7 linked regions of the Sus scrofa genome follow. The protein of the gene in region 1 interacts with the protein of each later gene in a biochemical or structural test. Links are inferred from orthologs where the notes say so. Each region holds a gene or a part of one and is shown on either strand. Other genes may lie near its edges.

What was found.
Region 2: the proteins of NEDD4 (region 1) and DGCR14 interact in a test that uses a peptide from one of them, tested with the Homo sapiens proteins (2 studies listed by BioGRID and IntAct, with this or other methods). The link is inferred for Sus scrofa from reciprocal best matches to the Homo sapiens genes NEDD4 and ESS2.
Region 3: of the proteins of NEDD4 (region 1) and PPARG, one has a biochemical effect on the other in vitro, tested with the Homo sapiens proteins (2 studies listed by BioGRID). The link is inferred for Sus scrofa from reciprocal best matches to the Homo sapiens genes NEDD4 and PPARG.
Region 4: the proteins of NEDD4 (region 1) and TRERF1 interact in a test that uses a peptide from one of them, tested with the Homo sapiens proteins (2 studies listed by BioGRID and IntAct, with this or other methods). The link is inferred for Sus scrofa from reciprocal best matches to the Homo sapiens genes NEDD4 and TRERF1.
Region 5: the proteins of NEDD4 (region 1) and GABARAP form a complex in vitro, tested with the Homo sapiens proteins (2 studies listed by BioGRID and IntAct). The link is inferred for Sus scrofa from reciprocal best matches to the Homo sapiens genes NEDD4 and GABARAP.
Region 6: the proteins of NEDD4 (region 1) and ubiquitin-conjugating enzyme E2 E1 form a complex in vitro, tested with the Homo sapiens proteins (7 studies listed by BioGRID, with this or other methods). The link is inferred for Sus scrofa from reciprocal best matches to the Homo sapiens genes NEDD4 and UBE2E1.
Region 7: the proteins of NEDD4 (region 1) and TNIK form a complex in vitro, tested with the Homo sapiens proteins (2 studies listed by BioGRID). The link is inferred for Sus scrofa from reciprocal best matches to the Homo sapiens genes NEDD4 and TNIK.

Annotation. Positions count from the first base shown.
Region 1 is NC_010443.5:116,063,207-116,066,706, forward strand, and holds part of NEDD4 (E3 ubiquitin-protein ligase NEDD4), read left to right. Parts: intron 1-635; coding exon 636-732; intron 733-3,462; coding exon 3,463-3,500. UniProt on the Homo sapiens protein: E3 ubiquitin-protein ligase which accepts ubiquitin from an E2 ubiquitin-conjugating enzyme in the form of a thioester and then directly transfers the ubiquitin to targeted substrates. Specifically ubiquitinates 'Lys-63' in target proteins.
Region 2 is NC_010456.5:50,953,219-50,957,414, reverse strand, and holds the start of DGCR14 (protein DGCR14), read left to right. Parts: upstream 1-1,396; 5' UTR 1,397-1,468; coding exon 1,469-1,603; intron 1,604-3,276; coding exon 3,277-3,445; intron 3,446-3,536; coding exon 3,537-3,638; intron 3,639-4,196. UniProt on the Homo sapiens protein: May be involved in pre-mRNA splicing.
Region 3 is NC_010455.5:68,432,224-68,434,447, reverse strand, and holds the end of PPARG (peroxisome proliferator-activated receptor gamma), read right to left. Parts: intron 958-2,224; coding exon 710-957; 3' UTR 501-709; downstream 1-500. UniProt on the Homo sapiens protein: Nuclear receptor that binds peroxisome proliferators such as hypolipidemic drugs and fatty acids.
Region 4 is NC_010449.5:37,377,300-37,380,799, reverse strand, and holds part of TRERF1 (transcriptional-regulating factor 1), read left to right. Parts: intron 1-345; 5' UTR 346-604; coding exon 605-2,044; intron 2,045-3,500.
Region 5 is NC_010454.4:52,595,630-52,599,522, forward strand, and holds GABARAP (gamma-aminobutyric acid receptor-associated protein), read right to left. Parts: upstream 2,538-3,893; 5' UTR 2,432-2,537; coding exon 2,342-2,431; intron 1,800-2,341; coding exon 1,721-1,799; intron 1,582-1,720; coding exon 1,463-1,581; intron 996-1,462; coding exon 930-995; 3' UTR 501-929; downstream 1-500. UniProt on the Homo sapiens protein: Ubiquitin-like modifier that plays a role in intracellular transport of GABA(A) receptors and its interaction with the cytoskeleton.
Region 6 is NC_010455.5:10,604,653-10,608,636, forward strand, and holds the start of ubiquitin-conjugating enzyme E2 E1, read left to right. Parts: upstream 1-1,184; 5' UTR 1,185-1,372; intron 1,373-2,446; 5' UTR 2,447-2,479; coding exon 2,480-2,631; intron 2,632-3,984. UniProt on the Homo sapiens protein: Accepts ubiquitin from the E1 complex and catalyzes its covalent attachment to other proteins. Catalyzes the covalent attachment of ISG15 to other proteins. Mediates the selective degradation of short-lived and abnormal proteins.
Region 7 is NC_010455.5:109,657,346-109,660,845, reverse strand, and holds part of TNIK (TRAF2 and NCK-interacting protein kinase), read left to right. Parts: intron 1-1,450; coding exon 1,451-1,585; intron 1,586-3,500. UniProt on the Homo sapiens protein: Serine/threonine kinase that acts as an essential activator of the Wnt signaling pathway. Recruited to promoters of Wnt target genes and required to activate their expression. May act by phosphorylating TCF4/TCF7L2.

The sequences.
Region 1 (3,500 bases):
GAGGTTTCAGGTTGGATCCCTGGCCTCGCTCAGTGGGTTAAGTATCTGGCGTTGCCATGAGCCATGGTGTAGGTCACAGACGCAGCTCAGATCCCAAGTTGCTGTGGCTCTGGTGTAGGTTGGCAGCTACAGCTCCGACTGGACCCCTAGCCTGGGAACCTCCATATGCTGCAGGTGTGGCACTAGAAAAGACAAAAAAAAAAAAAAAAGAAGAAGAAGAAGGGACCCTTCAAGAGAACTTGGAATAACCTGTACTGCATTCTCCATGAGACAGGAGAAGGGACTCTCAAGGCTCCTTTAAATCCAATTTTCCATCTTATAGAGAAATGTGTTTGCTGCTCAGTAATATCAATAAATAATTTTTTAAAAGCCATGAGTCACATCTGAGAGGAAGTGCTATCACTTTATTAAGGCTCTAATCCCATCCTAAAGAATGACCATTTGCCTTGGAAATGAAGTCTCAAGAACTTTGTAAACTACCCATAAACACAACTTGAACTTAAAGAAACATGCAAATTTAATAAATGATCATTAACATTCTAACTAAATTCTGATAGCATGTTTTTCAGGATAGTTTTGTTACCCTTTTTTGCAATGATATTCCTAAATGGGGTTTTTATCTTTATTTTATGCAGGCTGTTTTAATGATGGATTCAGAAAAACGAATAAGGTTACTTCAGTTTGTCACTGGTACATCCCGCGTGCCTATGAATGGATTTGCTGAACTGTATGGTGAGAATGGTCCATAGATTATTACAAATGGAGCTTATGACAGTTGTCTTTTTCATGGCTAAATAGTCTCCTTCATTTTACTGTGATAGCCTCTATCATTTATATCGACACTTAGCATAATAGAAAAAAAATTAAGGTCTTTAAATGATATAATTAGATACACTGAAGAAGGCCAAAATATACATACACCTTCTAATCAGACAGCAAAGAAGAAAACTGGAAACATGAAATGACTTTGAGTTTCTTTCCATGCTTGAATTTTATTTAATTTATTTATTTATTTTGCTTTTTAGGGCTGCACCCACAGCATATGGAGGTTCCCAGGCTAGGGGTCCATTTGGAGTTGCAGCTGCTGGCCTGTGCCACAGCCACAATGATGCAGGACCCAAGCCACGTCTGCAACCTACACCACAGCTCACAGCAACACCAGATCCTTAACCCACTGAGCGAGGCCAGGGATTGAAGTCCCAACCTCATGGTTCCTAGTCAGATTCATTTCCACTGCGCCATGACGGGAACTCCCCATGCTTGAATTTTAAATTTGATTCCCCCTTTGCATCCAGTACAGATTGCCTGTAGAGTGATGGTTTAGGGCAGGCAGCATGTAAAGTTCCACAGGGTGTTAATCAGTGTACAACTAAAAACTGCTAGCATTCGGAGTTCCCATCATGGCTCAGTGATTAAAGGACCTGACTAGTATCCATGGACGAGGGTTTGATCCCACAGCTGCAGCTCCAATTCGACCCCTATTTGGAGGAGATAATGGACTAGACAAAGTTAAATAGGTTTCTTTGGTTTGTTCTTGCTCAGAATACTTACTGTGAAAGTTTCCAGAAGTTAATTGATCGTGGAATCTGTGTTTGAGGGTGGTGGTAGTAGTTGGAGGGTGGAGAATCTCATTAAGGCCTTGTTTTGTTAAAAACAAAAAAAGCACTGTTTCTGATGTAGATCACAGCAACTTTTCTCAGACCAGTTAATATTCTGTTTATTGGAAGGACATTTGCCTGGCTTTAAAGATACCAAAAAAAACCAAACAAACCTTTCCAAGAACTTTTAGCCAAGATCGGAGCCGCACTGTCTCCTCCTTGGCAAATCTGGTTTTTCTGTTAAGCTTCATTTATATTTGTTTGCAGAATCTGTCAAGCAGCTGCCACTTCACCTAGAGTAACCACTCCTGGTGAAAAGGATGAGACAGGAGCTTTGCTCCTCACCAGTGCACCTTTTCCCTGCCTGGTAGGATTTGTCTTTGCAGTGGTTTCAGCTGACTCCCCATGCTTTCTCTTCTATGCTCTAGCCAGTTAGTAGAGAAAATGAAGGCAGGATCAACACCCCTTTCACCTCTAACTCCACTGCCCTCTTTTATGCAGCCCAGGCCCACCACTATCAGCTGATTTCCTGAATTTTTTGCAAATTAGAGTACATAGCCCACACATAGATCCAGAGTTATTAGTGTTAGAATATAAATTCACATGATTATGTATTTACAAAAAAAGAAGTTGCTTCAGAATGTTAGCATTACATTACAGTATTTTCTAGCCAACACAAAGTATCTTGGGTTTGTATTGGTTGACCTACAGGGAGTGTTCCAAGTGGATGGTTTAGGTGAGAGAAATGAGAGGCAAGGAAATATATACAATTCCATGTTATTGAAAACACAGTGATAAAAGTACTGACATTTTAACTGTGAACATAATTATGATGGGTGATGTGTGAAGAGCGGTGCTTTTAGAGAAAACAGTAACATGGAAAACATTAAGTATTTTTAGTGCTGCTTCTGACAGTTATACACACACACACATACTTGGATATGATTCTAAGACATGGAGACAAGTACAGAAGGGGCCTCAGGAGGTGGTCAGCATTGATGACCTGGATGGTTAGAGGATGTTGAAAACTGGAGATGGAAGAGCTTAGTGAAAACTCCAAAGAAAAAAAAAAAGTTTCTAAGCATGTCCATAATGAGGAGTTCCTGCTGTGGTGTAACGGGATTAGCGGCATCTCTAGCACCAGGACGCAGGTTCAATCCCCCTTCCAGCACAGTGGGTTAAAGGATCCAGTGTTACCGCAGCTGTGGAGCTGGTCGCACCTGCAGCTTGGATCTGATTCCCTGGCCCTGGAACTTCATATGCCTCGGGGGAGCCCAAAAAGAAAGTGAAAAAAAAAAAAAAAAAAGAACATCCATAATAGGAGAAAAATGTAGCATGTATAACGTGATTATGCAATTAAAATTCTGTATCTCTGCACGTGCACAAAAAAATTAATAACAGACTATTTACTCAGATTTAATAGTGGAATTTCAGGTGATTTTTTTACATCTTTCATTATTTTTCTCTGTTGCTTTAATTTTTTTGCAGTGAAATCATATAATCAGAAAAAATTAAAGCTATATTCAGTGGGACTCAAAAAAGAAAGAAAATGCTCATTATCTGTGTACCTGTGACAGAGGTGGTATATGGAAATGCAAGGCTAGAAAACAGCAAAACCTCCATCAGACACGCCCCCAGGGGCAGAGTGATGCGGTGGTCACAAAAAAACTGATGGAAAAGGAGTTTTCGTGGCTGGACACTAAAGTTGTCAGGCCCAGGACAGCATTACTTGTTTTGAGTTTAAAGAAGCTAGACGAGGTCTCTGTGTGTTTAAGTTCTATACGAGCAAAAGTGAGTTGTGAAATGCCCAGGAGTTTCTGCTAAGAGTAAATGAAACCAAAGCAACTCTTCTTCTTCTTTATAGGCTCAAATGGACCACAGTCATTTACAGTTGAACAGTGG
Region 2 (4,196 bases), on another chromosome or scaffold:
TCAGTTTATCACCTCCACTCTCAGGCTCGGTTCCTATCTCTGTCTCACGTTTACATCCCAGCCCAGGCCTCTCTCCTGTGCTAAAGAGTTATGTCTAGCTGTCCCTTGACTCCACCTGGAAGCCCACAGCACCTCTAAGTCCCCTTGTCCATAGCAGCCTCTTCCTCTGTGCATCCCAGGTGCATAAAACAGAGAGTTGGCAAGCACCTTGACCCCTCCTCTCCCTCACCCACCAAACCCAGGCCAACAGCAGGTTGATTTTCTCCAAAAACAATCCCAGAATCCATCTTCTTTCCAGGTTCCAGGTTGATTTTCTCCAAAAACAATCCCAGAATCCATCTTCTTTCCAGGCTCCAACCTGGTGAAAACCACTGTCATCTCTCACCTTGACCACTGCAGCCTCCTCCAGCTTGTCTGCCTGCATCACTCTGATTCCTCTGTGATTCATTCTCCGTAAAAGCCAGGGTACAAGTCCGAACCTGTCCCCCTCCTGCCTACAGCACTCCAAGGGCTTCCACTGCTCCCAGAACAAAGACAAAACAAGGTTGCCTTGACCCATGACTCTTGACTTACCTGCAGCCTGGCCCTGCCCCTCTGGCATCAGCTCCTACCCCACTGTTCCTTGCACTCTGTGTATGCAAAGGTCTTCTCCCTCTGGCCTTCAAACAAGCTCTCCCCCTCCACCTGGTCAATGCCTGCAACCACTCCCTTCCCTGGAAACTTCCCCTGACTGCCCCCCAGGTAGGATTCTGCTCTCTTGCACTTGACCGTGCCATTTTATGCCTGTTTGTGGGATGATCTGACTAGTGTCTGTCGTCTGCATTTGACTCCAGCTTTATGAGGGCAGGAACCAATACCATGGAGACACTACTCCATGACAGAATAACTGCCTATACTGAATCATTCTGGGGCAGAACTTGTTTGGTGTAATTCACAACCTCCTTTTGGAAGAAATGATGGTTCGGGAAAATGCTCAGGCAATTTTCTGGTCCACTTCGATAAGAATTAGCTGTCTTCTTGGAAGCCAACTGTAGCATTTAGGGACTAGACATTTCTCGCATAAAGATTGAATAAAAACTTTGAAACGCGTATATAACGAAGTTTTCTGAAGAGTGTGTCTTTGTTAAAAAAATAGAAGTATATGTAGTGCTTATTTGCGAGAAATTGGAATTCCAAGGCTTCCAAATATTCGGCGCTGGAATTTTTCACAATTAGCGGAAACGACACGCCCTTTAGTCTCACCACCGCAGCGCCCCCTGGCACCCACGACCCACAAGGCATGAACAGAGCGGGGCGGGGCGAGGAATACGAACCCAAAGGGTCCCGGTGACGTCAGTAAGGAGCGCCGGCCGGTCTTCGGAAACACGCGGCTCTCCGATTGGTCAGCAGTTTCAGGCGCCTGCGCAGCTGGCGCGCCCCACCTCCGCCGGTGTCGCCTCTGCGCCGCCGGGGCGGTGCTGGGATAGTGATGGAGACGCCTGGGCCGCCGGCCCGGACCCTGATGCTTCCTGCCGCGTCCCGGCCTCGGAGGAAGCGCGCAGCCGGGGAGGCCGGGCCTGCAACAAGCAGGCAGCGGGTGCTGGACGAGGAGGAGTACATCGAGGTAGGACTCGGCGCGGACGACAGTGACGTCTGGGCCCGTCCCGCGTTCCCCCTGTCCCGCGACACTCTCGTCTCCTCGCGGCGGTGGAGCAGTCCGAGCCTCTGCTGTCGAGCGTGGACGGTCTGAGAGCCAAACAAACAGCGTGTAGAGCGAGGTGTCCCTGCTGTCAGGGGGCAGTGGGGGTTGAGTGTGTCTGTACGAGGTTGCGGGTGGGCGTCAGAGAAACAAGTTTTTATTAAACGGTCATTAGGAATTTAGGAGGATGGTGACAGAACTTCCTGGAGGGCGATAATAACAAGTGCTAAGGCTGAGGGTTCTAGAAACGGTGGCATCGTGGCATCGCTGCGTCGGTGGGCCTCCCACCTTTGAAGTAGGCCTTGATCCTGCCGAAAACAACGCAGGAGAAGCTGGCACAGGGTTTGGAGGAAGTCAGTTAAGTGTAGGGGAGTCCTCTGCAATGCGGAGGCAGGTGGCTTTAGGGAACACCTGGATGCACGGACTTATAGCTCAGGATCAAGTCTGTCTGGAGCTGCAGAGGTGGGAATCTCAACCAGTGCTGGTGGTGGGGTGACTGGCTGAAGTCATCCTGGTAAAGGGTTCAGATCAGAATAGAGGGTGTGGGAGTTCCCGACCTGGCTCAGAAGTTAACAAATCTGACTAGCATCCTCATGCAGGTTCTATCCCCGGCCTTGCTTAGTGGTTTAAGGATCTGGTGTTGCTGTGAGCTGTGGTGTAGGTTGCAGATGAGGCTCAGATCCTGTGTTGCTGTGGTGCAGGCCAGCAGCTACAGCTCCCATTGGACCCCCGGCTGGGAACCTCCACATGCCCATGGGTTCAGCCCTAAAAAACAAAACAAACAAACAAAAAAGGAAGTAGTGGTTTTGGTGGAATGAAGGTGGCAACACGCACATTGATCAGGCTGATGTGGAGGTGGAGTTAAGAAAGGAGAGCGAAGGAGTTCCCGTCGTGGCGCAGTGGTTAACGAATCCGACTAGGAATCATGAGGTTGCGGGTTCGATCCCTGCCCTTGCTCAGTGGGTTAACGATCCGGCGTTGCCTTGAGCTGTGATGTAGGTTGCAGACGTGGCTCGGGTCCTGAATTGCTGTGGCTCTGGCGTAGGCTGGCAGCTACAGCTCCGATTCGACCCCTAGCCTGGGAACCTCCATATGCCTTGGGAGCGGCCCAAGAAATAGCAAAAAGACAAAAAAAAAAAAAAAAAAAAAAAAAAAAAAAAAAGAAAGGAGAGCAAGAATGATGGGTTAGAGAGTTTCCCTTGTCGTGAAGCAGAAACGAATCCCACTAGTATCCATGATGATGTAGATTTGAGCCCTGGTCTTGCTCAGGGGGTCGAGGGTCTGGTGTTGCTGTGAGTTGTGGTGTAGGTTGCAGACTTGGCTTGGATCCTGTGTTGCTGTGCCTGAGGCATAGGCCAGCAGCTGTAGCTCCGATTCGACCCCTAGCCTGGGAACTTCTGTGTGCCTCAGGTGCGGCACTAAAAAGCAAACAAATAAATAAACAAGAATGATAGGTTAGTGAGGGAGAGAGAAAGCTTTAAAAGTGTCCCCAAGCTTTGGGGATCATTGGGCTGGACAGAACTTGGGAGCCTCAGTATGCACTTTAAGGGCTGAAAGGCAGATGGAACCTCTGACTTGTGTTCTGATCACTCCTTCAGGGCCTCCAGACGGTCATCCAGAGGGATTTCTTCCCTGACGTGGAGAAGCTGCAGGCGCAGAAGGAGTACTTGGAGGCAGAGGAGAATGGAGACTTGGAGCGCATGCGCCAGATCGCCATCAAGTTTGGCTCTGCCCTGGGCAAGATGTCTAGAGAGCCTCCACCGCCCTGTAAGAGGACTCCCTTGGGGGCGGGGAGGGGACTCCCACTGAACTGTTGCCTCAGGGCCCCTTTCTTTATTCCCACCCCGACTTTCCCCAGATGTGACTCCAGCCACGTTTGAAACCCCTGAGGTGCACACAGGCAGTGGAGTGGTAGGCAGTAAGGCCCGGGGCCGGGGCCGCGGCCTGGAGGATGGCACTGGTGAGTGTGTGTTCTTTTTTTTTTTTTGTCTTTTTGCTATTTCTTGGGCCGCTCCCTCGGCATATGGAGGTTCCCAGGCTAGCGGTCCAATCGGAGCTGTAGCTGCCAGCCTACACCAGAGCCACAGCAACGTGCAATCCAAGCTGCATCTGCGACCCACACCACAGCTCATGGCAATGCTGGATTGTTAACCCACTGAGCAAGGGCAGGGATCGAACCTGCAACCTCATGGTTCCTAGTTGGATTCGTTAACCACTGCGCCACGATGGGAACTCCATGTGTGTTCTTTTTGCTTGGGGCCTTCACCTTGGGGGCCCAGTGGTGTCCACAGGCAGACCACACCTTGTCCTTGAGGGTCTCTTTGCCTTAGTGGCACCCATAGGGTTTGGGAGCTACGGTCTAGGAAGCAGAAGATCTGGGTCCCGCTCCAAAAGTAGGGAATCCTCTGAGCCTCTGCCCCACCTCCACTCCCCACCACGAATGGGAACCTTGAGTTCCCTCTTGGTGGCCTTCTCACTGTGTCAGCCCTGTTGGTGGGCTTATGGGCCTTGGAGGGCT
Region 3 (2,224 bases), on another chromosome or scaffold:
TTTTCCCCCCTCAATTCAATAATAAGTTCTTTTTGGCAGGTGCCACATCTTATACCACTTGTGTTACAGCATCTAGCAGTTAATACCCTCCAGTGGGTATCTGTCTGTGCCTTGGTGTCCTGTTAGAGGGCTGCTGTTGGTGAGTGAAAATCTTGATTGGGGCTGGGGAAGAAGACTGAATTCTTGGTAAGCCTAGGGACATGGTCAACATTAGTCCATCCAGGTTAAGAAACACATGCTCTGAGTAGTTTTCAGTCCTGAAATTCCTCGCTTAGTTGTGATTTTTAAAACAGTTACAAGGTTCAGAAACATTGTAAATGGAGTAAAAAACTTGACTGAAAATGGAAATTGATCAGCAATCCCATTCACATTGTTTCACACTGTAAGAAAGAAAAAAGGAAAAATAAAGGAAGGAAGAGGGAGGAGATAAAAGGAAAAAAATACCTGGGGAGTGGTGATGGGAGACACAACAGACTCAGTCTTCAAAGACATCCAGCAAGTTCATGATGTGGTAATTTTTAATATTAAAAGTAAATTGTAAATGTATCTTTATAAACAATATGCATAAAATAGATCTATTATTCTAAAACCTTTTCTTTTTCAAACGCTTTTTCACAGTAATTTTTTTTAGGTGTCAGATTTTTTTTCCCCCAAAATAATAGTGCAATTGGAAGAAGGAGAATGTTGTCGGTGAACGTGGACTTCTTTGCTAGTACAAGTCCTTGTATATTTCCTGTAGGAGTGGGTGAAGGCTCATGTCCGTCTCTGTCTTCTTTATTACTTGCAGCAGCTGCACGTGCTCTGTCACAATCTGTCTGAGGTCTGTCATTTTCTGGAGCAGCTTAGCAAAGAGCTGGGAGGACTCTGGGTGGTTCAACTTGAGCTGCAGCTCCAAGGCTTGCAGCAAATTGTCTTGAATGTCCTCGATGGGCTTCACATTCAGCAAACCTGGGCGGTCTGGGGGAGCAGAAATGGAAGACAGAACAGGAGGTTTAGGTATAAAATTCTCTGGCCAATGACTTTTTGTTGGTTTTGTTTTGGTTCTAAAATAGGATGGGGGCAGGGGAGGTAAGCAGAGAGTTGGCAAGAACTGCATATAAGAAAAAAGGAATAAAACCCAAGACTATCAGAGCTTTTTCCAAGACCATTCTTTTCCCGTAGGACTAAATCTGTGTGACCAGATGACAGAACGTGGTGGCATGGCAATCACTTCCCAGATTGCAGATTCTTCTGCTGGCATTATTTCTACTCACTCAGAAATCTCATTTTTAACTTCTGCTCCTTCCTGATGAGTCTATGTTTTATAATCTTATTTTCTTACCACAACTTTCAACACACTTTCATTTTTTTTATAATGATTTTAATTTTTTCAATTCTAGCTGGTTTACAGTGTTGTGTCAATTTTCTACTGTACAGCAAGGTGACCTAGTCACACATACACATATACATTCTTTTTTCTCACATTATCATGCTCCATCGTAAGTGACTAGATAGAGTTCCCAGTGCTAAACAGCAGGATCAACACACTTTTAAAATAAACTTTGTCTTCTTTTTGCTTAACATAGCATATGCATTTTTCAAAGAGATGAGACATAGTTTTCAAATTCTGTTATACTTTTGGAAGGATAGACCAAGTTTTAACAGAGGCTTCTCTTTCGACAGGTGAGGATGCAGGTAGATTTCACTTTCTTCTTTATACTTTCCTTATTTGAACTTTTAAATGGTGAGCTTAGATTACTTTTAAATTTTTAATGTTTTTTCTTCATGGAGGTCTTTTTAGATTTCTTCTTAAATACTTTCCAGTATTCTTTATTTTTACTTGTTTCCTTTCTAGTATTCTATACTTCTTTTTCATTACATTTTCTAATGTATCCCTGCTGATGTTTAGAAAAAAGTTAGGTTTTATTATACTGAATCTATTCCAATTTCCTAAACTCTTCTCAAATCAAACAGTTTGTATCATGGGTTAAAAAAATTATTTTTTGGATAGACAATTATATCTGCAAATAATCATATTTTTATTATTTGTTTTGTTCATAAGTTTTATTTATTTCTTTTTTTCTAGTGTTTATAGTTCTCATTTCTTTTTTTTGCCATACTGCATTGGCTAATAATGCTAATACGGTAAATAGTAGCAGTACTGGGAAGCATTCTTATTTTATTCCTAAGCTTGAAGGAAATGCTTCTAATGGTTTACCACAAGTATGGTATTTACTAGAGTATG
Region 4 (3,500 bases), on another chromosome or scaffold:
TTTGCCATTTCTTGGGCCACTCTCGCGGCATATGGAGGTTCCCAGGCTAGGGGTTGAATCGGAGCTGTAGCCGCTGGCCTACACCACAGCCACAGCAACATGGGATCCGAGCCTCGTCTGTGACCTACACCACAGCCCACGGCAACGCCGGATCCTTAACCCACTGAGCAAGGTCAGGGATTGAACCCGCAACCTCATGATTCCTAGTCGGATTCGTTAACCACCGTGCCAGGACGGGAACTCCCCTGTGTCGTATTTATTTCTATAATGGGTTGTGGTAGATAAACTTGCTCACTTCAGAGTATCAGGTAAATCCCTTCCTGTCCTCTGCATCTTGTCTTGCAGGTGTGAGCGGCACCTCTTCACCACGGTGGCGTTTGGTCCCTACCTCAGCCCGGGTGAGGATGTAAACCCCCCCGCTCTGCACATGTGTGGTACAGGCCAACAGGAACACCTGGCTCCAGCCACGGGCACGGACATGTCAGCCGTGGAGTAGTGTGGACGCTCTCTCTCTGCTTCTCAGGGTTTCAGTCCTTTCGGGTTTGTGTCATTGACCTGTTTTTTATGGTTTTGTGGCTGGACGTTCACGACCAAGGCAGGCACCATGGGGGATCAGCAACTGTACAAGACCAACCACGTGGCCCATGGTGGTGAGAACCTTTTCTACCAACAGCCACCTCTTGGCGTCCACGGCGGGCTGAACCACAGCTATGGGAATACGGTCCCTGGCGCTGCCATGGATGCTCCTCAGGCATCACCCATCTCCCCCCACTTCCCTCAAGATCCTCGGGACGGTCTAGGCTTGCCTGTTGGCTCCAAAAACCTTGGCCAAGTGGATACCTCAAGGCAGGGAGGGTGGGGAGGGCCCGCAGGGCCTGGAAACCACGTCCAGCTACGCAGCAACCTGACCAACTCAAACATGATGTGGGGGGCACCAGCCCAGGCGGAGCCCGCCGATGGCTTCCAGTACACCTACTCCCAGGCCAGCGAGATCCGGACCCAGAAGCTCACCAGCGGTGTCCTGCACAAGCTAGACTCTTTCACCCAGGTGTTTGCCAACCAAAACCTGCGGATTCAGGTCAACAATATGGCCCAGGTGCTGCACACCCAGTCGTCAGTGATGGACGGAGCCCCGGACAGTGCCCTCCGCCAGTTGCTGTCCCAGAAGCCCATGGAACCCCCAGCACCGGCCGTCCCCTCCCGCTACCAGCAGGTGCCCCAGCAGCCTCACCCTGGTTTCACAGGTGGGCTGTCCAAACCAGCTCTTCAGGTTGGGCAGCACCCAAGCCAAGGGCACCTGTATTATGACTACCAGCAGCCCCTGGCACAGATGCCAGTGCAAGGAGGACAGTCCCTGCAGGCCCCCCAGATGCTGTCCCCGCACATGCAGCAGATACAGCAGCACCAGTATTACCCGCAGCAGCAGCCCCAGCCGCAGCAGCAGCAAACTGGGCAGCAGCGTATGTCGATGCAAGAAATGCAGCCGCCCCTGCAGCCGCTTCGCCCGTCACAGCCCCAGCAGCAACAGCAGCAGCAACAGCAGCAGCTGCAGCAGCGGCAGGCTTCGATGCAGATACCTCAGTATTTTCAGTCCCAACCCGTGATGCAGCATTTGCAAGAGCCGCAGCAGCCACAGATGCACTTGCAGCCCCCTTCTTACCACAGGGACCCCCACCAGTACACCCCGGAGCAGGCGCACGCTGTCCAGCTGATTCAGCTGGGCTCCATGCCCCAGTACTACTACCAGGAGCCTCAGCAGCCCTACGGCCACCCTCTGTACCAGCAGAGCCACCTGCCCCAGCACCAGCAGCATGAGGACAGTCAGCCCAAGACTTATCCAAGTGACCGGCAGGCCCAGGCCATGCTGAGCTCCCACGGGGACCTGGGGCCTCCAGATACAGGAATGGGAGACCCGGCAAGCTCGGACCTGAACCGGGTCAGCAGTGCCCTCCCGCACCGGCCGCTCCTGTCCCCCAGTGGCATCCACCTCAACAACATGGGGCCTCAGCACCAGCAGTTGTCTCCCAGTGCCATGTGGCCCCAGGTACTCCCACCGTGGATGTTGCCCTTGGTATCGGGGTGTGCTCCTGGGCCAGCCAGCTGAGTCTGTGCAGTGCCAGGTCCTCCCTCCCAACCCCTGCAGCACTTCCGTTCTTGCCTTATTCCACAAACATTGACCAGACGCTGTCTACGCCAAGCCATTGGAATTCAGAGTCCATTTTGACTCAGGGCTTCACCCCTAGAGCTTAGAATCTCACTAAGGAGAGGGCCAAAATACCATAGCAGGTCCCGAACGATGCATGTCATGGTCAAGGTCTGATCAGGTGCTCGGGGACCAGGACCAGCTAATAACGGTGTCTAGCCCCCTTAGAACTATATCCTTAGGGAATGTCCTGGGCACCTGTTCCCCCTTTGCGAGGGAGACCTCGTCATGACAGCATTTCTCAAAGGACGTTGCTCCAAATAAGAGTTCCATAGAGGAGTTCCCTTCGTGACTCAGCAGTTAACGAACCCGACTAGGATCCATGAGGATGCGGGTTCCATCGTTGGCCTCGGCTCAGTGGGTTAAGGATCCAGCATTGCCATGAGCCTTGGTGTAGGTCAGATCTGGGGTTGCTGTGGCTGTGGTGTAGGCTGGCAGCTACAACTCCAATTTGATCCCTAGCCTGGGAACTTATCCTATGCTGCAGGTGTGGCTCTAAAAAGCAAAAAAAAAAAAGAGTTCATAGAATGTTTAGTGGATATTGCTGGGGAAGAGGAATGGGTTCTCTGGATGGAGGGTTTCTTAAAGTAAAAGAGGGTGCTGTGTTGCTGGGCTTCTCAGGGTCTTTAACATGCTCATGTGCACCGTGAGCATCCCCAAGGGGAGACCTCATATAGTTGCAGAGATGAAAAACCTTCGCTGCCCTCAGGATCCAGGCAGGTGAAGTCAATAAGCCACACGGCCTGGTAGGAGATGATAAGGTCTGCAGTAGATAGGAGACCCGATGCCCCATCTCATGATGCTCCTAGTCAGGATATTTAAAAACAGTCTAGCCAGGCAAACCGTGTCTGTAGGCCAGATTCAGCTTGCAGGTGACCCTTGCTAACCCTTGATTGTTCCCCAGATGTATTTGGTCACAAAACCACCCTGCGGTGTGCTGGGCACCATTCATGCCTTGGCGTGTTGCAGGTGCTACACTCATGTGACAACAGGGTCTGGGGGTGGGGGAGGTCACCTTGAATAGGACCAGGATAGAGAGGAGGGGGGCTGTGAGGAGGGGTGAAGGCCAGAGATGAACTCCCCATGACCTTGTTGTGTTTAGGACTTGGGCCAGTGGTAACGGAGAGCCTTTGTGATTATGAAAATAAGAGGACAGGGCTGGGAAGGAATTCCAGCAGGAAGTCGCCCAGCTTGATGCTGTCTCTCAAGGGAATGGAGCCTGTCTGTGCACAGAGTGGGTGGACGGGAGAGCAGGAAGGAAGGAGGTGGGGAATGAGTCCTAGCGGGCTTGTGGCCG
Region 5 (3,893 bases), on another chromosome or scaffold:
GGCTACACGGAGACTTGGCTGCTGGGAGATGAAGTTCTCGTGGTAATAATGGCTCCCTCCTCCCAGTCTTCTCCCTAACTTGTATTCCACTCTACTGGAACCCGCACGCCGGCACAGAGTCTGGCTAAGGGACATATACCTGAGGACAGAGTTCTTTTACCAGCTCCACACTTGGAAAAAACCCTTCCTTGATTCAAAAGGTTATGACAAACTTGGATGGGATATCCAAAGCAGGTACTTTCAAACTTTCTCCACTGGAACCCACAGTAGAAAACCAACTTTTTTTAACCTCAAGCCCCTATCTATACACGGGTACATAACACAACTTTCATGAAATGATACTCAGAGTATTCCATCCATCACAACAAAAGCACACTTTCTCTGCACAAGGAAAAGCCCAACATAAGGAGAAGAAATAAAAATACATTACTATCCCTCCAACCTCCCTTTCCCCCATTGAGTAGAGAACAAAAGGCAGAGGGCAGCAACACAAAGCAAAATCCAGTTCAGCTTGGTGGTTTCCTCTTTATTGATGTGTATCCTACCTTCCCCGCCACAATTCAGTCCCTTCCATCTACCCCCCAAAAAGAAGGTAGTGAAAATAAGGGATTGTTGGGATCCTGAGCCCCCTGGGCAGTTAGAAAGGAAACAGAAACCAAAACGACCACTGGATGTGACAGAGATGGACAATCAAGAAGTCTAAAGCTGAGTGGGAAGGTGGTAGAGAAAGGGAAGGAAAGGAGTACTGGAGGCCATCTCCCCCATTAACCCTTGTTTTAAGAAGGGCTGGAGGAGAGTCTCAAACATTAGGAAGTGTAGGTCCTGAAGAAAGGAGGTGGTGTTTGAGCCTCAAGGAAGGACAGGTCGAGGAAGGTGGGCCACCTCTCTCTGTCTGAAGAATGGGACCCCCGACCTTAAGGGCAGCAGCTTCACAGACCATAGACACTTTCATCACTGTAGGCAATGTACAGAAAGAAGTCTTCTTCATGGTGTTCCTGGGGTGAAAGCAGAAAATGACAGTGCTCAGGCACCTGGGCTTTAATTACTTGAACCAACCACCACCCAGGCACATTCTTCCAAAAACATTCTTTTTGAAGACCCCCAAAACCAGTGCTTTGACTCTCCCTCTCACTTGCTCCAGACCCTAGCGGCTGAGCAGTATTATCCTAGCAGCAGTCCTAGGCATAAAAATCACACATTGTTCTCTGCTGCCTCGAAATGGGGAGGGGCCTGGGGAAAGTCCAGATCACAACAGTTGCTCCAACTCACTGTTCTCTTTTCTCTCTACTCCCACTGCCCTGTCTAAATCCCCAACCCAGAACTATAAGGAGATTTTAAAGCCAAATTTAAAACTGAGAGCTAAGTAAGCCAACTAGTCCAAGACCTGCTGACTTAAAACTTCCTGCCTCTCAAGTGCTTCCAACTCCTCTCCAAAGCCTCCACTACTTCCCAGACACTATACCTGGTACAGCTGACCCATCGTGGCACTGGTGGGTGGAATGACATTGTTGACAAAGAAAAACAAGGCATCCTCAGCTCGGAGATGAATTCGCTTCCGGATCAAGAAGTAGAACTGACCAACTGCCAAAGAAACAAGGTCTGAGAAAGTCTGAGGTCACAAACGCCTTCAAAAGAACAGCTGCTATGTGGAGCCTCCTCCAGCAGAGACCACATTCCCACCCCCCAGGAAGCAAACCTGGCTACTGGGTCAGGTTCTCACCTGTGAGATCAGAAGGCACCAGGTATTTCTTTTTATCTAGGTCTCCTATCCGAGCTTTGGGAGCCTTTTCTACTATCACCTGATAAAGAGACGAAAATTAGGAGACATTAGGTATACAGGCCCACAGCTCCACCTGTCAAGAACTCAACATTCCTAGCATCCCTACCTACCCCAGACTCATTTCTCTTTGTCTCTGAACACGCGGCGCAGTCCTGAGCAGGGATTCTGATCCCACTGACTCAAACTCACCTAAACCTCCAGAATCCCTGAATAGGACGTCATAACAAACAATGATTTTAATCAAACAGGCATGTCTTGTCTGGGCCGACTAGAGCTTCAATCTCAAGCACCCCCTGTGAAGCTCGGAATGTCAAACGCCCTACACGAATCCAAGGTCTAGCTCTCGCGCCTACATCCCCTTAAGCCTACATCCCCTAGCCCCCCAGTTCTAATGCTACCCCACTCCTTTCACCTCCAGTCCCACAGACAGCAGTTTCGGGCTCATTCCCAACCCTGCCACAGCTGGCAGCCTGATGCCCGCGCTGCGGGTCTCGGACTCAAGCCCAGGCTGTGGCGTCAGCGCCAGCGCCCCGCGCCCTCGGCCCTGGCTACTGTCCTCACCGGCACCCGGTCCGGGTATTTCTTTCGGATCTTCTCGCCCTCAGAGCGACGCTTCTCGAACGGATGCTCTTCTTTATACACGAACTTCATCCTCCCGGGAACCGGGTTGGACCGGGCTGGGCTGAGGGAACCCGGGGGGGCCGGGATGGGGGGCGGCGGCGACGGCGGCGACGCGCGGGCGGATTCAGCGGAGCGATCCCGGACCTTGCGCCACTTCCCTATTCACCAACCCCGCCCCCGGCCGTCAGAGGCCGCCCCACTCGCTATGTTACGCTCCTAGCTCAGTGGCCCCAACGCCACTAGCGTAGCGCCACCTACTGACCTCCCCCCTCACGCAATCAGCGTAATCGCTTTGGAATCAATTTACGGGCTACGCAGGCGACGTAGGAAAGGTGGCTGGCTTTTTGCTATCATAGAAAATAACTGAAAACCCATTTCCTGACTTTTTCCACAGGATGAAAAGGGCTTGGAGATGGTAATCATAATTTGAGACTTGGTTCTCCGAAAGTGCTTTTCAGAAGTAACAGAGGTAAAAAAGCAGATAATTACAAGGACAGCTATTCAGGAAAGGTGCTGGTACGCTGAAGGCGGCGGTTGACACCAAAACAAAGTAGTACCCCAATGGAGCAAGCGGTCTTTGGAAACAGAGGAGGGCAGAAACGAGACCTATGTTTGGAAAGACGCTTATGTTTCCAGAATGCTTAGGTTCCAGGAATGAGTGGACGAATAGGGACTGGAGAGGTCTGAAAGGTAGGGACTACGTCAGCGCGGAGGAACACAGTCTTCGCGGCTCACGGAGAGATCATGTGATCGCAGAGAAGGGCGGGGCGTCACGTGGCGAGTGCGAGGAAGTAGAGCCGGCTGCGGCTGGGGGAGCAGGGCCAAGGGGAGGGAGGTGGGGCGCCAGGGGCCTGGGACACCCCCCCCTCCGCCCCCGGGGGGCTGCGCCCGCTCAGCTAGTCTAAGTCAGGCCCGCAGACGAAGCCAGGCCTCTCCCAGCGTCCAGTTCTCTTTTCCTTTCAAACTTTTCTGTGTTACTGTTCGGAAGCTCACATTCCCTCTGGACACAGGGCTGTTCTTTCGCTCCCGGCCAGGGTATCATCCTGCCACTAAGACCCTCCCCGCCAGGGTGGCCAACACCCTCCCCTCAGGTCAACAGCTTGCTCCTTACCCTCTGCCCAGAGCCAGGGTGGGTGTGAACAAAGCCCCTTCATTTCCCCCAAACCCAGAGAAGGACCTAGGGCAGCTTTGGTTTCAAAGTTATAATGCATGGTTTAAGTAGACGAAAGAAAAAAAGAGAAAGCTCGTTACAGGTCTGAGGGACTCTAGGAAGAAGGGAAGATGGAAAAGGAAGGGAAGGGACAAGTTTGGGGAAAATCCAGTGGCCCAAAATCCCAGTTTCCCACCCACAGCCCAGCCCTTGGAGTGAAGAATTAGATCAGTTTTGTACAAGAGTTTTTAAAAAATCAAATCACAACAAAGCTGGCTTGGCTTCTCTTTGAGCCTCCCGGATTACCGAGTGTCTTTCGCTCACTCTGGCCAGTCCTGTCTC
Region 6 (3,984 bases), on another chromosome or scaffold:
TTACTTTATGACTCTTAAAAAAGTTGGAGTTTCATGTTGAGGACTAGAAGAGGTTTAGGTGGGTGGTAAGAATGCTTGTTTTCCTGGTTAGTTGGATATGCCACTGGCTTTATGTCTTCTGTTGTCCGGTGGTAAATGAAGCCACACTGTTGCTATGGAAAAGGATGGCAGTTTGGGATAATTTAGAGTGGCCCAGGGAAATCTGGGCAGTTGCTTAGTGTACCACACCTAGTATATGTTACACTACACATATCTCTTCAGTTTCCTGCAACTGAAATGACAAATAAGTGAGAAACTGAATTGTAATTTGATGGCTTAACTAAAAAAAATTAATCTTGGTAAACACGATAAATAAAGAAGAGTTCCGAAGAATTAGAGGGATTATTATTAAAATCTTATGATTTGAATAGCATTTATATTGTCGCTGAAGAAGCTGCAGCCGTCCTCAAAACTTTTAATATAATTTCCGACAGCAAAAATTCTAAATCCAGTCTAATTCAGTAGTAGAGGGTTTATTCCCATTGATTTCTCACATTAGAAAGCCTCTTAGACGTTGGTTGGTTTTACCTGTCACGAAATCCACTGTATCACTTTTATAAAACACTTCTTTCTATAAAAAGTGACTGGAAGAATCGAAAATTGTAAAATTGCACGTGCCTGAGCAGAAAACTCCAATCTTGGGATTTTCTCACAGGCGTGCCTAAACCGACCTCTGCTCCTAGCAGGTAAATTGCCAGAGGGGGAAGCCAGGGTCAGCCCAAAGGAAACCCTGTTGTGGGATTTCTTTCTTTCTCCCTTAAACTGATCACTTTTTAGGAGGAGTTCCCTCGGTATTCACTAGTCCAAAGTCCTGGCACCAGATTACCATCTTTTTTACCAAACTGCCCCCGCTTTCCCAAAGCCCTTTTGGTAAGAACTTCCCCTCGCGGTCGCCCTATTCCCGACAGTTCCCAGCGCCCCCAGTCTCGGGACGGCTTCCCCTCTTCAGCCCAGGATCCAGGGGTCCCCCAGACTCCTCCGGAGAAAATTCACAGCCCTTGCCCCCTGGCCCCGCGTCCCGACGAGGCGCCGGGGTGGGGGTGGGGCGGGGAGGGGCCGGGCTTCCCGGGGTCCCCGGGTGCTCCTGGCGCCCCCCGGAGGTGTGCCCGGGGAGGGGAGCGCGGGTGGGTGGGACCGGCCGGACGGGGTGGGGGAGGGGGAGGAGGAGTGTGTGTGCGAGCGTGTGTGGCTGGGGGAAGCCATTGCCTGTTTAATAGTTGCTGTTGCTGCACTTCCGCTTCTCTCCCAGCGAGAGAGACACGAGTGGCCAGGCCCAGCCGCAGCCGCAGCAGCAGCCGCCGCGGCGGCACGGAGCAGCCAGACACAAAGAGAGGTACGGGGATCCCCCCCGCCGCCTGCCGCCCCCCGGCCGCGCCGCCGGGCTTCGGGGACACCCCTCGCCGCCGCCCCCGACCCGCGCCGCCCGGGCCGCCGGGCACGGGGCCGGGGGCGCGGAGAGGGGCTAGGGAGCTCCGGGGGTCCGGGCCCGCCCGCGGGGGATGGGCAGGGCCCCGGGCCGCGTGGGGTGCGGGGCCGCCCGCGTCGGGGGCGGGGGGCACAGGGCTCGAACTGTCAGCGCTGCCCCGGGAGCCCCCCGCTGGCCGCCGAGGGGCCGGGAACGGGGGAGGGGAGGCGGGGAGCCCCGTTTTCCCCTGGGGCGGGGGCCCGTGGGGATTAACCCCTCCGGGGCGCACGGGCTCATTGTTATTCCTCAGCAGAGGAGGCCGAGTCCCCCCCTCACCCCCGCCCCCACCCGGGGTGCCGATCGGGCGTGTGCCTGGGACCCCCGCCCGGGCCGCGCAGACCCGACCCGCACGGTCCGGGGGCTGGCTGGCAAGGGGCGTCGGGGCGCGGCGGGGGCCTCGGGCCTCGTCGCTCCTACCCCCCTCCGGCCTCTCCCTTCCCCCACGCGGGCCCCCGCTGCCCGCCTCCGTCCCCCCGTTTCGGCTTCCTCTCTTACTCCTCTCCGCCCTCCTCTCCTCCTGACCTCGCCAAACTCGGCGGCTGGCCCCCAGCTCCCCTACGACCCCCGGAAAGCCGCCGAAAACAGCCCGAGGCCGGCTGGCCGCCGGGACCTTCCCTGCCCGCCCCGGCCGGGCGCCCCGCACCCCCGCCCGCCGGCTGCTCCTCTCCCCGCCCGGAGGGGAGCCCCGGGGGGCGAGGGAGGGGCTGCTCTCTGCCCTCCCAACCGTTTTCCCACCACGTCCCCCACATGGGGCCCCGAATAAACAAACAAGCCGCGTCCAATTTGCAAAAGCCATGATGGGCCCGAAGACTTTGAAAAGCGAGTGGAGGGCGGTGGGCGGCTGGGTGCACCCCCGGCCGAAGCCCTCCTGACAGCGCCCGAGTTCCTTATTTACACTGGCTGCATGGTTTGTGTTTCTGTTTTGTTTCCCTCCCCCTGCAGGGGCTGTTTGCGGGGTGGGGTGGGGGGTTCGCTATGTCGGATGACGATTCGAGGGCCAGCACCAGCTCCTCCTCATCTTCGTCCTCCAACCAGCAAACCGAGAAAGAAACAAACACCCCCAAGAAGAAGGAGAGTAAAGTCAGCATGAGCAAAAACTCCAAACTCCTCTCCACCAGCGCCAAGAGGTACGGTACCCCCTCCCCACCCCCACCCCCAGCAGGCTTCCTATTTCCCAAACTGCCTCTTGCTGCATTTGGTCTGCCTCCATGAGGGTAGCTTAACCGCTCCTCATGGTTTATATGTTCTTAAAGAGGAGAAAAGGGGCCTTGGAGGCCCTAATTGTTTTTCTCGGTGCCTTCTTCTGTTTTTTCTTTTAATCACTGTCCACATGCAGCTGTTGTGGCTTGCCTCTCCCATATCTTGCTGAAGTTTGTAAGAATTTTCATTACTATTATTAGTGACCACCGAATCTGATTTCACATTACTTGTCCTGTTAATCACTAATCTGTGACCCTTCTCAAGGCTGTCATCCCACTTCTTACTAATACCTACCCAGACAGTTCTATCACAATGAATTCTATTACCGTCTTACTTCTCACCTGTTGCACTTATGAACTGTTTTGAATAGAGCTTTCTCCACAGATTGCATGAGGAATAAATAACTCATTTTGGCAGAGTAAAAACTCTAATGGGTAGAGATAGATGTTTTCGGATGGAATTTAAAGAGATTTTTTAGATTTAGAGAGTTGAGGCAAGTGAATGAATCAATAGGTGATGTAAAATGGCTATTCTAGGCTATTTTGGGGATTCTTGTTGTTCTCTTTGAGAACCTCAATTTACCAAATTTCAGGGAAACTCAAATTTTTTTCATGGTATTTCATTGTTGATTTTTAAGTTGAATTCAAGCAGTGGTTCTTTTTCTTTGCTCTCTTCCTCTTATGTCTCTGGAAGAAGCTACTTTTTAACCTCCATTATCCTTCAGTAGTGTCCTCTGATTCCCATGACCCTTAAAGTATCTATAGTAGATTCCTGGGAACCCCTATAGTTTATAAATCCTGCTGTCGGTTGTAGAGTCATTAAACTTTAAGGTGGCAAACCAGAAAGACAGTAAGGAATCCAAATGGTGGGTTAGCTGGAGATACCTTTCTTTTTTTCTTTTTACTGTTCTTTCTTTTTTTTTTTTTAGGGCCCCACCCTTGGCATATGGAGGTTCCTAGGCTAGGGGTCCATTCACCATAGCCACAGGAAGGAGGGAACGGAGCGGGTCCTTAATGAACTGAAGGAGGCCAGGGATTAGACCTGTGTCCTCATGGATGCTAGTCAGATATGATTCCGCTGAGCCCCTGAGGGGAACGCCGAGATACCTTTATTAAAACAATGTAAAGTAAAAGGGAACTTGATGCTTTAAATCTCTTCACTGAGTAGTGTGCCAAATAGAGTTTGAAAGTTTGTCCTGTTACTCTCCCTGACTTGAAATTTGGTAGGTTGGTACGGTGTTTTGGTGACCTCACCCTAGGAGGATGAAGGGATGACTTGCG
Region 7 (3,500 bases), on another chromosome or scaffold:
GTATATTACATCTGCAACTTATAAAACATGTTTTGATGCCTAAGAGAAATCAAAGGAAAATAAGGACCCAAGAAGTATACCCCACAGGCCTGAATTACTGATCACGTGGTAAAAGCCACCCCAAGGGACATGTTCTTATCTGGTATTTGTACAATCTTAGATCGTATATTAAGTTTTTCTCCTTACTTACTCCTTAATGTTTTTAAGATGTTTTCATATCATACTAAGAATTCTTTTCTTCCTTTTTTTTTTGTTTTTGTTTTTGTTTTTGCTTTTTCTTTTTAAGGCCTCACCTGTGGCATATGGAGGTTCCCAGGCTAGGGGTCCAAGCAGAGCTGCAGCCTCCGGCCTACGCCACAGCCATAGCAATGCAGGATCCGAGCCACATCTGCGACCTACACCACAGCTCACAGCAATGCCAGATCTTTAACCCACTGAGGCCAGGGATCGAACCTGCAACCTCATGGTTCCTAGTTGGATTCGTTTCCACTGTGCCATGATGAGAACTCCTCATACTAAGAATTCTTTACTCCAGGATCACTTTGCAATCTTTTACCAAAGGAATTTTTACATTTTTTCCCCCCAAGTACACATCTTTCTTTTTAATAGCCACACCTCTGACACATGGAGGTTCCCAGGCTAAGGGTCGAAATGGAGCTGCAGCTGCCGGCCTACGCCACAGCCACAGCCCCCTGAGATCCGAGCTGCATCTGTGACCCACCCTGCAGCTTTCAGCAATGCCGGATCCTTAACCCACTAAGCAAGGCCAGGGATCAGACTCGCATCCTCATGGATACTATGTTGGGTTCTTAACCCACTGAGCCAAAATGGCAACTCCAACCAAGTATACAACTTTTTCTCCTTTCTTATTTTTTTAAATATGCCTTTCAGTAATCTCAGCACGATAAACGTGTCCAAGGATATTTTCTGCACTCAGATTGCCTTCACTGAATTTGTTTCTCTTGTCTCCTTACAAAATTCCTTTTTCTTTTTGTTGGGTAACAGAGGCTCTCCATTAACATATGCTGTTGGTCAGAAGGTGAGGGAAAGGCAGACATGACAAGTATGCTGAAATATCCAGTTGTCCACACCTTCCTTGTAGATCTAACTAGACTGTATTGGAATGCTAATCGACCATCCCGTTAGAGTATTGGGTCTTGCTGAGTTCAGCAGACACTGCCCTTTGCATTGGGAGGAGAGAGTAAGAGCAGCTGAAGGTAAAGACACTTTATAAAATAGTGACTGGTCCAAAACACTTGGACTGTTTTAATCGTCAGTCCTGGCAGAGACATTACTTTGATGCTGGGGATACTGGTTCTTTGTGCCTTCAAATGTACACACACATAATTGTTAATAAAAGTAAGTTAATAAAATATAATGGAGCTGGGGAAGGACTGAGGGAAAGAGCTGTCTCAGGGCCTTGAAAATTAAAGCTCTGTTATTTCAACAGGAAAGAAGAATAAGCTACGTGTTTACTATCTTTCATGGTTAAGAAACAGAATACTCCACAATGACCCAGAAGTCGAAAAGAAACAAGGCTGGATCACGGTTGGGGACTTGGAAGGCTGTATACATTACAAAGTTGGTAAGTCTCAAGACATGGAACTGTTCACTCAATCCAGATTATTTGGTTAAGTTTCATTTGTTTTGTTTTGTTTTTTTCTGTCAGATATTGTTGATGCATTTGTGACTGGTTTAAGGCACTCTAGAACCTTAAGTATACTTGTATTATTTCAAAAAAAGTCAGACTGATGAAGTTCAAAGAGTGCTTTCAGAATAAAGTCCTGAGCCCCAGCTTGAACTTCTTCTCAGAGACCCATTAAAATGACAGTGAAGGAATAAAAGGGCCAGAAGAGAAACCAAGCAAGAGATGTCAGCACAATTGGACAAGAGTAGTTAGCTAACTAGAAATAGACCCAGCTGACCAAGAAATGCTGAATTCTAAGTCTGCAGTGAGGAAAGTCATCAAAATCAATCCAGTCACTCAACAAAACCCAGAGAAGCTGAGGACCTGAGGCTCCCGAGGTATCAGAGGTGGAGATGGAGGGTGGGACTGAAGAAGGGAAGATAGCTGGAAAGTTGATGAACAGCAAACCCTCCAGAACTCAGGCGGCCACCTCCCCTGACTGCAACAAAAGATGAAAGGCTGGCACAGCCAGTCTGGGGGTGAGGAGTCCTGAATTATGAGGTTACACACACACACACACACACACACACACACATCCTTTCTTCCCTTGTTTAGGTCCCAAAATAGCCATACTTATACTCCCAAGCAAGAGATTGAAAGATTGTCTTTTGAGAAACTAAACAGCCAGAAAGAAAATATGTTCAGATAGTAATATTTGAAATGCCATGATAAAAGCACCTGACCACCTTAAATGGAAGCCTAGTAATCATAAGCCCACCTATATCAGACAGCAGGGAAATCTACTAATAGAAAGGAAACTTAAACAAAAAGTATGTGTTGCTGTTTTCTTGTGATTCTTTTTTCATTCTCTGAATGAAAGGATAATAAGGAGGGGAACAAAGTTTTTTAGAAAGAAACTTTAAGAGTTTAGAAATACCATTTCCTTAAAAGAAGAATAGGGGTTATTTTATTTTATTTTATTCATTTTATTTTTGTGTGTCTTTTTAAGGACGCACCCATGGCATATGGAAGTTCCCAAGCTAGGAATCAAATCAGAGCTGTAGCTGCCAGCCTACACCACAGCCACAGCAATGCCAGATCTGAGCTATGTCTGCGACCTACACCACAGCTCACAGCAACGCCAGATCCTTAACCCACCGAGCGAGGCCAGGGATCGAACCCACATTCTCATGGATACTAGTCGGATTTGTTACCACTGAGCCACAACAGGAACTCCAAGAATAGGAGTTATTTAAAAAAAAAGGGGGGGGGGGATGGAGCAGAGTTGGAGGAGGTCATTCAGAGACTAGGAAAAAATCTTGGAAATTAAAATACATTGGCAGGAATAAAAAATGAAATAGAACGGTTGGAAGATAATGATGAGAGATGTCCTAGAGAATAGAATGAAAAGAAACAGGAGAGAAAAGGTAAGAAAATAAAAGATCCAGTCCAAATGGTTCAAAATCTAAGTTATGGGAATTTTTGCAAAAAGGGAAATTAAGAAATGAGAGGGGAAGAAAGTATCAAAGAAAGAGAATTAAGAAGTTTCTACAACTAAAATCTCAAAATCTCAAATTAAAATATTCAAAGAAAATGAAAAAAGACTCACAAGAAAATAGCAACACATAGTTCAGTACCCAGGAAAGGAGAACATTCTTAAATCTTCCAAATTATAAATAAATAGATAAACAGTTTACAATTACATATGGAAGCCCCAGAATTAGGTGGCCTAGCACTCAGCAGCAACACTAGAGGATTAGAAGACAAAGGATCCTCCAGTATTCTAAAAGAAAAATTATTTTCACTCAGTGTTTTATAATCCATCTGTATTAGTCAGGGTTCTTCAGAGAAGCATAACCTCTAGGGTGTGGGT